3 linked regions of the Caenorhabditis elegans genome follow. The protein of the gene in region 3 purifies or fractionates together with the protein of the main gene of each other region. This does not show direct contact. Each region holds a gene or a part of one and is shown on either strand. Other genes may lie near its edges.

The links.
Region 1: the proteins of sdz-8 (region 3) and C49A9.9 fractionate together in Caenorhabditis elegans (co-fractionation; one large-scale study listed by BioGRID). This does not show direct contact.
Region 2: the proteins of sdz-8 (region 3) and spig-1 fractionate together in Caenorhabditis elegans (co-fractionation; one large-scale study listed by BioGRID). This does not show direct contact.

The regions. Positions count from the first base shown.
Region 1 is NC_003282.8:6,215,384-6,220,393, reverse strand, and holds C49A9.9 (FHA domain-containing protein), read right to left. Parts: upstream 3,023-5,010; 5' UTR 2,960-3,022; coding exon 2,705-2,959; intron 2,654-2,704; coding exon 2,529-2,653; intron 2,313-2,528; coding exon 1,770-2,312; exon of another isoform or gene 1,641-1,769; coding exon 1,397-1,640; intron 1,349-1,396; coding exon 1,229-1,348; 3' UTR 947-1,228; downstream 1-946. Other genes in the region: C49A9.4 (Cadherin domain-containing protein), read right to left, coding at 1-26, 79-209, 258-426, 583-668; C49A9.5 (DUF272 domain-containing protein), read right to left, coding at 4,250-4,399, 4,444-4,684, 4,733-5,010.
Region 2 is NC_003283.11:7,049,913-7,053,578, reverse strand, and holds spig-1 (DUF4473 domain-containing protein), read right to left. Parts: upstream 1,865-3,666; 5' UTR 1,852-1,864; coding exon 1,788-1,851; intron 1,738-1,787; coding exon 1,460-1,737; 3' UTR 1,400-1,459; downstream 1-1,399. Other genes in the region: txt-17 (transcellular chaperone signaling (x)cross tissue), read left to right, coding at 382-454, 507-781; tofu-2 (Schlafen-like protein 2), read left to right, coding at 2,352-2,354, 2,523-2,751, 2,808-3,256, 3,303-3,370, 3,413-3,509, 3,558-3,666.
Region 3 is NC_003283.11:11,514,387-11,518,523, forward strand, and holds sdz-8 (C-factor), read right to left. Parts: upstream 1,806-4,137; 5' UTR 1,793-1,805; coding exon 1,664-1,792; intron 1,613-1,663; coding exon 1,445-1,612; intron 1,282-1,444; coding exon 928-1,281; intron 869-927; coding exon 767-868; 3' UTR 700-766; downstream 1-699. Other genes in the region: C55A6.6 (DeHydrogenases, Short chain), read right to left, coding at 1-168, 216-344; C55A6.4 (DeHydrogenases, Short chain), read right to left, coding at 2,317-2,418, 2,463-2,816, 3,025-3,192, 3,247-3,375.

The sequences.
Region 1 (5,010 bases), on a different chromosome or scaffold from region 3:
TGTCACCCTTTTCTAATTGCCCCGTTCTGAACATTGATAAGATTTCCGAGTATTTCCTGGCGCCAAAAAGGTACTCACGCTTTGATAACAATATAATATCTTCCGGGAGATAAATTCTGATCAGATGATACTATTGGTCCAAAGTTTCTTGTGTTAAAAATTAAAGATCCATTGTTATCAAACGTTGCCTCTGCAGATGGAAATCTCAACTGAAAGGTTGAACGGATTTGAGGTTCCTCGCAGAAAAATCAACTTACATATGCCTCGTTTTGTACGACACTAACATTTTCATCATTAGGATGAGAGCATTTTTGGAATAACTTCAATGTTGTTTCATTAATCAAGCAGGCATTAAGAAAGTCGCCAAGATGAACATTGTTACGGTGTAATTCACTTTCGAGTACAGTATATTTTTTGTTATGAGGGCTGAAAAATATCAAAGAGTTCTATGTACAATTGTTAGTGTTTGATTTATATTCCTTCATATTTTTGCGAAAGTGTGTTTAAATGATATCAGAATTTTTAGCAACAACAATTTTAATGAGAAAAATTTTGTTATCGACTCGGACCATATGAAGTTACCTCAACCCAAATAAAATAATAACTGATCCACTATTCGCGTACACGCATCGGTTGACAGCAAAAAACGTAAGCGAATCTGAGGCCATCTGCGACAGAAATTATAAAATCAATACATGAAAGATAGGCAAAAAAAGTAGTTTTTCTTATCTTGAAAGTGGAATCAAACTTTTGGTTTGAAATTTTTGTGATTCGCGGTTTTCGGAAAAATGCTGCACGAGAAAGTCGTAACTGAAAACGCTTTTTGTGATAGGAAATAAATATTGAAAATGAGCATTGAAATATCAAGAGAACCAAACTTTAATATTTTTTATAAAATACACAAATAAAACTGTAGTTTTGATGATATGTATTTAGGAGATGTATTTTTTGCTTTATTAAATGTTGTCTATCCGCACTGTTTCAGATATTAGATTTTTAAAATTAAAAATCCTAGAACCATTCACAACACTTGAATAACTTAATTTTTTTTTAATATAGAAAGATTGACGGTGGAAAAATTGCTTACTTTTACAATTAAACATGAAAAAGCAAACGTAAATAAATTCTGAAACATAGAATGCCGCCTTAAAACACAATTAATTCAGAAGAAAAGAAGTAAAAAAGAATTTAAGTTAGTTAGAAAAGCTGATGTCCTTATTGTCACCAGTTACAAAATCTTAGTAACCATCCAAACATAGTCCTTCTCTCCAACTCCACGGCGTTCAATCTTGACGGTTTTTCCTATGCATCCAGCAGTTAATTTAGTTTCATCAGTGCTTCCTTCCAGCTAAAACATTTTTTGTCTTATAAATAGAACAGCTGATCGAAAACTCACCAATTCTCCGATGTACTTTGCTGTTCCAGTTGAGAATTTTTGATTGACTCCTGCCGGTGTAAATTTGGTTATTTTAACCGTCAAAAATAGTTTCTCTTTATCATTGATGCCGCCGTGCAAAAGCTCAGTTATTGGCCCTTTGTACTCTTTACAAACACATCTTCCATCTTCCTGTTTCTGGAAAGTTCCTTCAAAATGATGACCCAGTGCCAAAACATACTTTGTAGTTTTGAACAATCCTTCACTGAAAAATAGAAGTTTCAATTAACAAAAATTATTTCCGATGTTTCCATCGTGTGTCCAATGCCAAGTATACGAGATTCCCGATGGACATATCAAACATTGCTTGTGAAGTAAATTCAAACAAACTAACGTTTTTGAATCGAGATTCCACAAGTAATATAAACCAGGTCGTTTTTCGTCAATACTTGTGACAACGGCCCGCTGCTTTTCCTCTTTTGTTTGCGAAGTCGTAAATCCTTCGCCAACAATTTGTCCTGGCTTTTCAGAGTTTTTATCTTTTTTCGATGGTTGAAATCCAGTACCAACGATTTTTTCCTCCTTTTTGGGAGGTTTAGGAAATCCCGAGCCAGCAACTTTATTGTTGTTTGCCGGGGTTACCTGTTTTTGTGGAGATGGGAATCCGCTTCCCACCACTTTTGTATTTTGTTTTGGAGTTTGAGGCCGTTGGAATCCCTTTCCTACGACCGTCGAATTTGGTTTTGGCGATTCCGTTCTTGAAGCCGACGAGAATCCAGTTCCAACAATAGGTTCTGGTTTCTTAGCAGTAGTTGAAAATCCGGAGCCTACTTTTTGTCCGGAGTTTACAAACCTTTCGTTTGGTGCTTGAGCTGCAATGTCAACAGCTTCAAAATGAACAATTTTTCCAGGTATCATTTCGCGAGATGTATTTAATCTGAAAAAAAAATGTGATTCATTTATATCAGTCTTTCATTTTCGGTGCAAACAAGAAGCATATGACGCATAAATATACTCTCGAACTGATAACAAATTGTAAAAACCAACAATTCACCTTTCATGTTATTGTATTTTGCATTTCAATAAAATTCAAAGATTTTTCAAAATTTTTCACACAAAATTTCAACAAAATTGCAATAGAATTTCAACTTACAGTCTCATTGTGATGACGTATCTTCCTGTTTGTATTACAGGCCAGCATCGGATATCATCAAAAAGTGGGCATTGAAATAGCAAAAGTCCATTTTGAGAAATTAGGTTGACTTTGAGATTTACCACCTAAGAACGTGTATTGTTAATATTCATTTTAACAAGAACTCAAAAACTTACAATAGCTTCATCCCCGTTGATAACTGTTGAAATGTCTGCAGTATGTTTGGTTTGTGAAATTTCGTACAATTCTCTCGCTCTGTTGGTTCTGCATTTGAGAAAATCTCCAAGCTGAACTCTATAGTCTCTACGAAGTAATTCCTCATTCATCAAAAAACGCTGTCCAGACTTTGGATTGACTAGAATAAGCTGACCCTGGTCTCTTCGAGCAGCAAATAAAAAATACTGCGGATCTGGCATCGTGAAGTTGTTCATGTTTTTTTTTCAAATAAAATACTTTAGTGTTGTTTTTAGTGAACAAGGCTCAGGTTTCCCAATCTGAAATTGAAAATGTTTCTATTGATTACATTTCAGAAAAGAAAAAAGAACGAAAAGACAAATACATATAACGGGAAAGTCGAAAGAAAACTGATAACGCTACAACACTGTCATCGTTTTGGAAAGTTCAGTTTTATAGTTCATACTGCTCCGCCCATAACTTCCTCAGTCTTAAATTGTTGAATGTGGCGTTTATATCTGGAATAAACACAGTGATTCATTATTTGTAAAGAATCAATCATAAAAAGTTATTGTGGTTTTTGTGGAGCGTATACATGACGACTTTTCTGGTACTGTTTCTACAAGTTATTTATAAAACGTTGAAACAGCACATTTCATAATCGAAGTAAAACGTAGCATTACGGGGGATTACGTTGTACAAAATAATACATCCACTCGATGGGATTTTTTTCGAAGAATTTTCAACGCAACTTCTTATGCAAATAAATAAAACACAATCACATACATTTTAGAATAGTACTCCTTATATGCAATTGTGTCTTATTTTTCAATCTGAGTAAAAAATAAGATAAATTTCAACCGTTTCATGACTATGCATAGTGTTCAATTTATCAATTTTAAAGTTTCATCCCGTTTTCTATCGTTGACGCGTGACAAGTGATGAAATGCTCCTAACAGGAATGCGAATGGTGATTCATATGTTCTGAACTCTTAGTAAAAGTTTAATTTGCTGACACAGGTTTAACGTATTTTTCTGTTAGTTTTGCACTTATAAGGAATCGAAAAATAGTTTTTAAAAAATATAAATAGTTTTGCACAAAAAACTATTGATCCATTTTGGACATCATTTAAGATATTGTGAACATATTTTCATTGTTTTCACTGTCTCAAACAGGATCCGTCCAAAAAACCCCTCAAGAACCTTTAAAACTCTATAACTTTGATGTCGCTGATGAACCAACTTACCTTACTTGTAACTTACTTGTGTAATTTGACAACATTTCTGGAAGTTTCAAACAAAAAGCAACGCACTTAGTTTTCCAACTTTATAGATATAGGTATTAATATTCAATAAACATTATAAAGAAAAAACTTATATGTGATTCTTACTTTTACAATTAAACATGAACAAGCAAGGATTAAAATATTCTGAAACAGAAAATGTTTTTTGTCAAACAATACATTTCTGAATTTAAAGTAAAAAATAATATTTGAGGCCGTTGGAATCCTTTTCCAACGACCGTCGAAACATACATTTGAAGTTGATTAAAAGATTTTTTGGTCGTATTGGCTACAGTTACGAATCTCGGTAACCATCCAAACAAAGTCCTTCTCTCCAAATTTACGTCGTTCAATGTTGACCTTTTTTCCGATGCATTCAATTGTGAGTTTAGTGTCTTCCGTGTTTCCTTCTAACTAAAACTAGGATTTTGAATCAAGAAACTTGTGTAAAAACGTACCACATCTCCTATATATTTTGCAGTCCCACTTGCACGTCTTCTGTTAACCCCTGCTGGTTGAAAATCGAGCAGTTTAACAGTTAAATTCACCTTATTTGTATCATTCACTTTGCCTTCCAAAACTCGTTCTATTTCACCTATATATTCTTTGCAAAAGCATTTTCCATTTTCCTGGTTTACAAAAATTCCTGCAAATTGATGGCCTAATTCCAACGGGGTTGTTGATTTGAGCAAGCCTTCACTGAAAAATAATGCTGTCAGGTAAAAAAAATATTTTAAACAAACTAACGTTTTTGAATCGAGATTCCACAAGTAATATGTACCAGGTCGTTTTGCGTCGATACTTGTCACAACAGCTCTTTGCTTCTCTCCTATCGTTTGTGAAGTAGTAAATCCTTTGCCAACTGTTGAGCCTGGCTTTTCATTGTTTTTCTTTTGTTGCAATAATTCGGATCCGAAAACATTTTCTTCTCTTTTTGTAGATTTTGGAAATCCCGTGCCCATAATTTTGTTTGCCGGAGTTTCTTCTTTTTTTACTAATGGGCATCCGGGTCCAACAACCTGTGT
Region 2 (3,666 bases), 4.5 Mb from region 3:
AAAATTTTCATGTTGATTGAATACTATAAAACGTCATTCTCGTGATTCACACTTTCCGAAAACACTTCGAGATAAACGTTGTGCCATAACCCGATAGACATCAAAATATCTAACCGTTTTCCCTGTTTTCGAACTATTCCCCTCTAGATAATTGCCGTAGAGAACCACAGGCACGGATATTTTTTCAATTCGAAAGCGTAACAAATTACAAACCAGTTATGTGTCTCCGCCTAGAACCGATCTCAATTTGGATGTATAAAAACCGTGCTGATAGCTCTGAAAATAACATCATCATTTTTTAAGTTTGGTTTCATATGTTCTTTTCGCAAGCATCTTCTTTCTGTATCTCATCAAAATAAAAAATTAATATTTGTTCAGAAAATGTGCAAACTCTTCGTCGCCGTTGCACTTCTCGCTGTTGCCATCTATGCTGCTCCACCAGTACCACCAAGTGGTAGGAAATTTTTATATTTTGAACTTTGAAAAACTCTGAATCTGATTTTCAGCCGAGGAGGTGAAAGCTCAACTTGTCGCCGCTGGGCTCTCGGAGACTTCTGCCGCAGGAATCGTCGAGGTTGCCGAGAAGTACAAGACTCAACTCGAAGCTCTCAAGGATAACAAGGACGATAAGGAAGCAATAAAGAAGGTTTTCGAGGAGATCAAGACTGACACGGATGCCTACATCAAGACTCAACCAGAAGCTGATCAGAAAGCTTATGCCACCTATATCGAGTCTAAGAAGAAGGAATTCGAGGGACACCACTCTACTCCAGCTCACTAAATATTTTCTGATGTTGTTGCTCGAAATGCACATATATACATTTTCCCTTGACTTTTTGTATTGAATGAATCGAATTTTCTGTTTGAAATGTTGACAAGTCTCTTGTAAAAATTAGAACCTGCCATAAGAAAAGCATGCCTACCTACATGCCTAAAAGACAAACCCTGATCGCCGCGAAGGAGAAGTACATTTTGACAAACCGTGAAAAAACGTTTATTCGGGCCGGAGCATAACACGGTAATGATACATCTATTTCAAGTCCAGTTATTATTGACCTGAAGGTAACTTGTAGACCTGTTGGTGCCTGCAATGACGCCCACCCTGTGTTAATAAATACCAGGTTGAAACTTGATATTATTTTCGCTTCTGTAACTATTATTCCAGCTATTTATCGTTTTAAGTCTGAGCTATTAGCAAAATTAGGAACATGGAATAGCTTAGTATCATTATTATTACTATTATTATTATTTAATACGTTTACATAGATAGATAGAGTAAGTAGGTAGGTAGATAGGTAGGTAGGTAGGTTTTTAAAACAAGGGAAAAAGATTGGGTTGTTCTCGATATTTCACCCGTTACTGTAGTCTTATGTCTGGATGAAGCACATATGGAATGATTCGCGAAATTAAAGTTTTATTTTCAAATAAAAAATGGTTCCATATTCAAAAAAATTGATATTTAAGCACTTTCGGCAGCAGCAGCTTCCTTGTGAGCTTGGAAGTGCTCCTTGGCCTTCTCAACGAATGCTTTGTAAGCGGTCTGATCAGCTTCAGATTGGGTGGCGATGTAGGCATCAGACTCGGACTTCATGCTATCGAAAACTTTCTTTCCAGCTTCATGATCTCCCTTGGTGAGAGCCTGGAATTGGCTCTTGTACTTATCTCCGATTTCAACGAGTCCAGCGGCAGCAGCCTCGGAGACTCCACCCTCAACGAGCTTGGCCTTCATCTCATCAGCTTAAAATTATAAGGGTTTTAAGAAGAACGTTGAAATGAAAAACTTCTACCTGATGGCATTTGATGAGCATAAACGACAGCGAGAAGGGCAACGGCGACGAAAAGTTTGCACATTTTGAAAGTTGGAAGTGAATTGAATTGAAATTACTACAACCTGTCGACTATTTATACGAATCGAATTGTGACGACACGTAGTGGTGATTAGTGGCAAGGCACATTTGACACAAAAACGATTGGTTCTAAAATCCGGTTTGAATATTGAATTGGACTACACACACTCTCACTACAACATGGTTTTTTCAGTTTATGATTTGTTGCCCAACAGTTCAATTCATAGACATTCGCATCAATTGCGGAGGATCAAACGATTTCAGTTTCGAACTTTTCAAAAAATGTGTAACTGAACTTTCTGTTAAATCTGATGTTTTAATATTTTTTGTGGTATGAAAATAATTTTTTCATCAAAAAATTTATTTGAAATTCCCTCCATTTTCTATCGGCTAAACAACACGCGCCGCGTAACGATGGAGCATCGTTGTGCATTTTTCGCGAGATAATTTTTTTTTAATTTTCGTAATTAAAATTTCAACTCTTCCGTGCCTGGTCATTGAAAAATGGTAAGTTTTAAATATTTTTAGAATCAGAAAATAAATTTATAGTTTTTTAAAAGTTTCTCTTCTAATATTCCGCTAATTTTAGCATTTTTAAATCTCACTATTAGTTAAAATAAATATATTCAACAAAAAATTCCGGTGTGCTGTTTAATGCTACATATTATTTTTCAGGCCGACACAAGTCCACGTGAATCCAAACTGAACAAGCAGGATCAAGATCTTCATCTCGAAATTGATGAAACTGGATTAGCCTGCAAAAGTGAAGTGAAGAAAAGATGGCTCGGAGCACGTGGAACAGCCGGATTATATGGAAATGGAAAGTATTACTATGAAGTTACAATTACAAGTAAAGGACTGTGCAGAGTTGGCTGGGCTACTCTCGGTGGAAGTTTGAATATTGGTAATACTTTTTTGCATTGTGCAAAATTATTCTTTATTCCAATTAAAATGTTCCAGGTAAAGGACTGGATAGTTTCGGTTATGGTGGGACTGGAATGAAGTCAACCCACAAAAAGTTCGATGATTATGGTCTCCCATTCACTCTGAACGATGTGATCGGTTGCTATCTTGACCTGGATTCCCGTACCATCTGGTGGTCAAAAAATGGAGAACAATTTCCCGCCGCTTTTTCCATCGATGTGAAATACAAAAACTCGAACACGTGTCTCTTCCCGGCGGTCTTATGTCAAAACTCAAGCCTCTCAGTCAACTTTGGATCTCAACCGTTCAAATTTCCCCCGGGAAATCAGTTTACTGCGGTTTCCGATGCTCCAAATGAAAATGTGAATTGGTGGAGCTATGAGGAGCAAAACTCATTCGAACATGTAGTGGTGAAACTACCGTTTGCAGTAGAAGAAGATGTTCATAATGAGTTCAGAATGCATACCAAACTGATGCTCACTGAAGTAATTTAAAGTGGAAAATAAAGGTTTTTGAATTTTCAATTTACAGCTAAAGAGGACTCAATGCAAGCAGGACAAGGATGGATCTATTCGAAGAACTCTTCAGCCGATCAGCAAGTATGGGTGTTTCTGGAGCCAAAAAATAAATATAGATTTCAGAACAATTTGCGCATTTCTGAACACTGACGGTGGACGGCTTTTTCTGGGTGTCAACGATGATAAAGTTATTAAAGGAATTTCGATGAGCAAGAACATGGCTAGTTTTTAATAATAAAAACGCACAATTAGCTAGTTGGATTTTCAGATATACCATTTCTTCGGTTCTCTGCGACACATGTGTGAAAATTTTAAACCATGCAGTCCGCTATGTCGTATCAAAGTCTCCATTCTCGAAGTTATCCCGGTGGGAGTGA
Region 3 (4,137 bases):
AGTTTTTGTGAGATATTTGACAGCAATTCCCGCGTTGTTGACAAGTAAATTGAGTCCATCAGATCCAACTATTTCTTCAACTTTTGTCACAAAAGAATCAATTGATTTATCACAAGTTACTATCAATGGAAGAACATGAACATGTGGATCATTGATAGCTTTTAAATCCTGAATATTGAGAATAATATTTAGCTCAAAATGTAATAATCACTTACAGTAGCCTTTTCAACATCTCTAACAGTTGCAATAATATGAAGAATATTCTTATCTTTCACGAATTCTTGAACAAGTCCAAGTCCGATTCCACGATTTGCTCCAGTAATGACAACACTTTTTGGAGACATAATGAACCTGAATACCTGAATTTAATTAATCAGACTGTCTTTGGGGAGAACTAATTGAACTTGTATACAAAATTGGTCAAAGATCGGAAAGGAAGAGGCAACAGAAAGTCTCAAAAAATGGCATAGACGAGCAACAAAGTAAATAGAAATAGAGGAAGAGGCACAGAAAATGAAACAAAATCTGTAGTTCGTTTGTAGTCAAAAGGAAACAAACACTTCCCACAAAAAATTATTGAAATGGCTTTCCTAGTTCATTTTCCAATTGTAAATTGCACACAAACATTGAAAATTGATGAAAATAGTTTTCATGGCAATTTACCATAGTAAGAAACTGGTTTTCGACAACGACAAAAGGTAATTTTAGTTTGTTTATTTTCAATTAACTTCCGATGCAAAAAAGGTGGGAAAAAAATAAAAAGATTTTAGAATTCATATGGCTTCAAATTTCTCATAAAGAATCTTCCATTGTGAGAGTTGTCAAGCTTATTGAAACTGGAAATCAGCTCGGCGGTGGATTGTTCAACCTGAAAAATGATCGGAATAACAATTTCTAAACTGATAATTAATCGATTCGTTTACTTACCGTGAGTGCTGCATTCTTCCCTCCTAAATTGGTTTGCACCCATCCTGGACAGAAGTTAACAACCAACACATTATCATCCTTCAAGTCAACAGCAAGAGTTCTTCCGAACATATTGATAGCAGCTTTGCTCATTCTGTAGGCGAGAACTGGGAATTGTGCAGATCCAGATGTGTTGTCAGTGATGGAACCAAGTCCAGATGAGATAGTGATTACAGCAGCACGTGAAACGGAAAGTTGATCTCCAGATTCTTTGGATGCTGCATTTTTGAGCAGTGGTAATAACTTTTGAGTGAGAAGGACCACACTAGTCGTATTTACATCTAGTTGTTCGGCGATGACGGCACGGTTAGGCTCCTTCAAAATTGGCCATATTAATAATTATTATAAGATGCATAAATGTCTAATGAAATATACTTTTGAATGAAATCGAAATTCTTATTTTTTAGTTAATAATCAAATACTGAACAACTTTTAAAAACAATCAAAGAAAAAATAACATGTAACTATCATAACGTACCGTATTCGTTCCGTAGCTCAGCAGAACTCCAGCGTTATTTATCAGCAAGCTGAGCCCATCAGATCCAACAATTTCTCCAACTTTCGACACAAAAGTGTCAAGTGATTTATCACAAGTGACTGTCAATGGAAGTACATGAACACGTGAATCTTTAATAGATTTCAATTCCTAAAAAAACACTTTGGGATGACTAGCTCACTTGTAGAAAAAAAAACTTACAGTAGCCTTCTCAACGTCTCTAGCAGTTGCAATAATATGACGAATGTTCTTATCTTTGACGAGTTGCTGGACAAGTCCAAGTCCAATACCACGGTTGGCTCCGGTCACAACAACACTTCCTGGCGACATTTTTTTAAATTTTCTGTAAAAGTGAATAATTTGAGAACAAAACTATTGTTTCCATGATTAAAAAAGCAGAAACAAGCTTGAGATATTTGAAGACACAAAATCTGTTTTTCTATATAGAAAAGTCTCTTATATACGGAGAACACCAGGGTCAAAATGTAGGAGACCACAGCGAAAATGATGACATTGGAGTAAAATAGATGACTAAATAGCGACAGCTGGAGAGACGCGGGCATCGTAGTGACATTGTAGTTACACCGTATTGAAGTAAATACGAAGACATTTATATTTAGAAAAACAAATAAATATGCCGATATTTAGAAAATAAAATAAACATGTTTTGAAATACAAGAAAAACTACATAAACTTTTATTGAATCTACAATAGAAATAAACTAAACAATTGGACGCTTTGAATCAAATTGATCTTTCGTCACAAAAAGTGGTCACAAAATTTTGTGGTTTTGGATTTAATTTTTTTGGAATTGAGAAAAACCTATTTGAAAACGAGTATTTCGAGAAATGCACTTAAAAAGGATACGGTGTGAGATCTTTTTGGAAGAATCCTCCATTGTGAGAATTGTTGAGCTTGTTGAAGCTGGCCACTAGTTCGGCAGTTGATTGTTCAACCTGGAAATTAATTTAATTTATATTTTAAAACTTTCTAAGCTCACCGTCAAAAGGGCCTTCTCTCCTCCCATATCAGTCTTCACCCATCCAGGACCAATACTGGCTACCAGAATATGATCATCTTTCATATCATTTGCAAGAGCTCTACCAAACATATTAATGGCAGCTTTGCTAATTCTGTAAGCAAATGCATTTGGAGCATGGCCTCCTGTGGCAAAATCAGTCATTGATGCAAGTCCAGATGAGATAGTGACTACAGCAGCACGTGAAGCGGAAAGTTGATCTCCAGACACTTTTGAGGATGCCTTGATGAGAAGTGGCATCAGTTTTTGAGTGAGAATAACCACACTGGTCGTGTTCACATTCAGCTGCTCGGCAAACAGTGCACGGTTTGGTTTCTGAAAATTTGATATTTTAATGGATAAATTATATCTGTGTATTTCTTCCCCGACTATCACCCGAATAATGTAAAATTGATTGTGTTTGAAAACTTTCAGAAAAAATTGGACAACACGTTGACAAATCTTCACTGTTAGTGAGCTTTGGAAATAGTCAACTAATCCATTTCCTAATTTAATCTTGTACCCGAACTTTTTTTAAACATACCGCTTTACATGGATAATCCACCGCGTTTCCCGCATTATTGACAAGCAGGTTAAGTCCATCAGATCCAACAATTTCTTCAACTTTTGAGACAAAAGTATCCATTGATTTATCACAAGTAACTTCCAATTGGAGAGCAGTAACACGAGGATCACTAATTGCTTTCAAATCCTGAAACGTTTTTTGTGCCCGAAATATCAGACATTGAAAAAAAAATTAACTTACTGTTGCTTTCTCAACATCTCTAGCAGTTGCAATAATATGACGAATATTCTTATCTTTCACGAATTCTTGAACAAGTCCAAGTCCGATTCCACGATTTGCTCCAGTAATGACAACACTTTTTGGAGACATGACTGAGGACGAAAAATCAGACTAATCGAAAGGAATATAACAAGACATGTTAACGTGGAACAAAATTCACCACATAAAAGCTCACGGGAAAAATAGTTCAAAAAAAATCTCCACGTTAAAACACAAACAGTTTGCATCTTCTCGCGAAACACTTATTCTCAGCGATCGAAGGTCAGAAAATAGATGACATTGATTTTCCGAAAAAAGAAAAAAGTGTAGAGTGATAACTGGAAACAAACAAAATGTCATCCGTTTATTGAGACTGATTGAAAAGTCTTGAATCATGAAAAAAATGACATAACTTTATGACTGTTTGAGAAACAGAAAACTCTCAATGTTTTTAGAATGAGTGTGGATTGAGGTTTCTGTCAAAGTATCTTCCACTGTGAGAGTTGTTTAGTTTGTAGAAACTGGCAGTTAACTCTGTTGTTGATTCTTCAACCTAAAAGCAAAATTTGTGAAAATTAAGAGCTAAAGTGTAAGAATCACTTACAGTGTAGGTAGCCAGTGGTCCTCCTAATCCAGTTTGAACCCATCCTGGACAGAAGTTGACCACCAAAATATGATCATCTTTCAGATCAATTGCCAATGTTCTACCAAACATATTAACTGCAGCCTTGCTCATTCTGTATGCTAGCACATCTGGAGGGAAAGTTGATGTTTTTTTTTAAACTACACTTGTAGTGTTGACATCAAGTTGATTGGCAATCAATGAACGGTTTGGCTCCTGAAAATATTAAAAGTTTAATCATCTCAACCAAT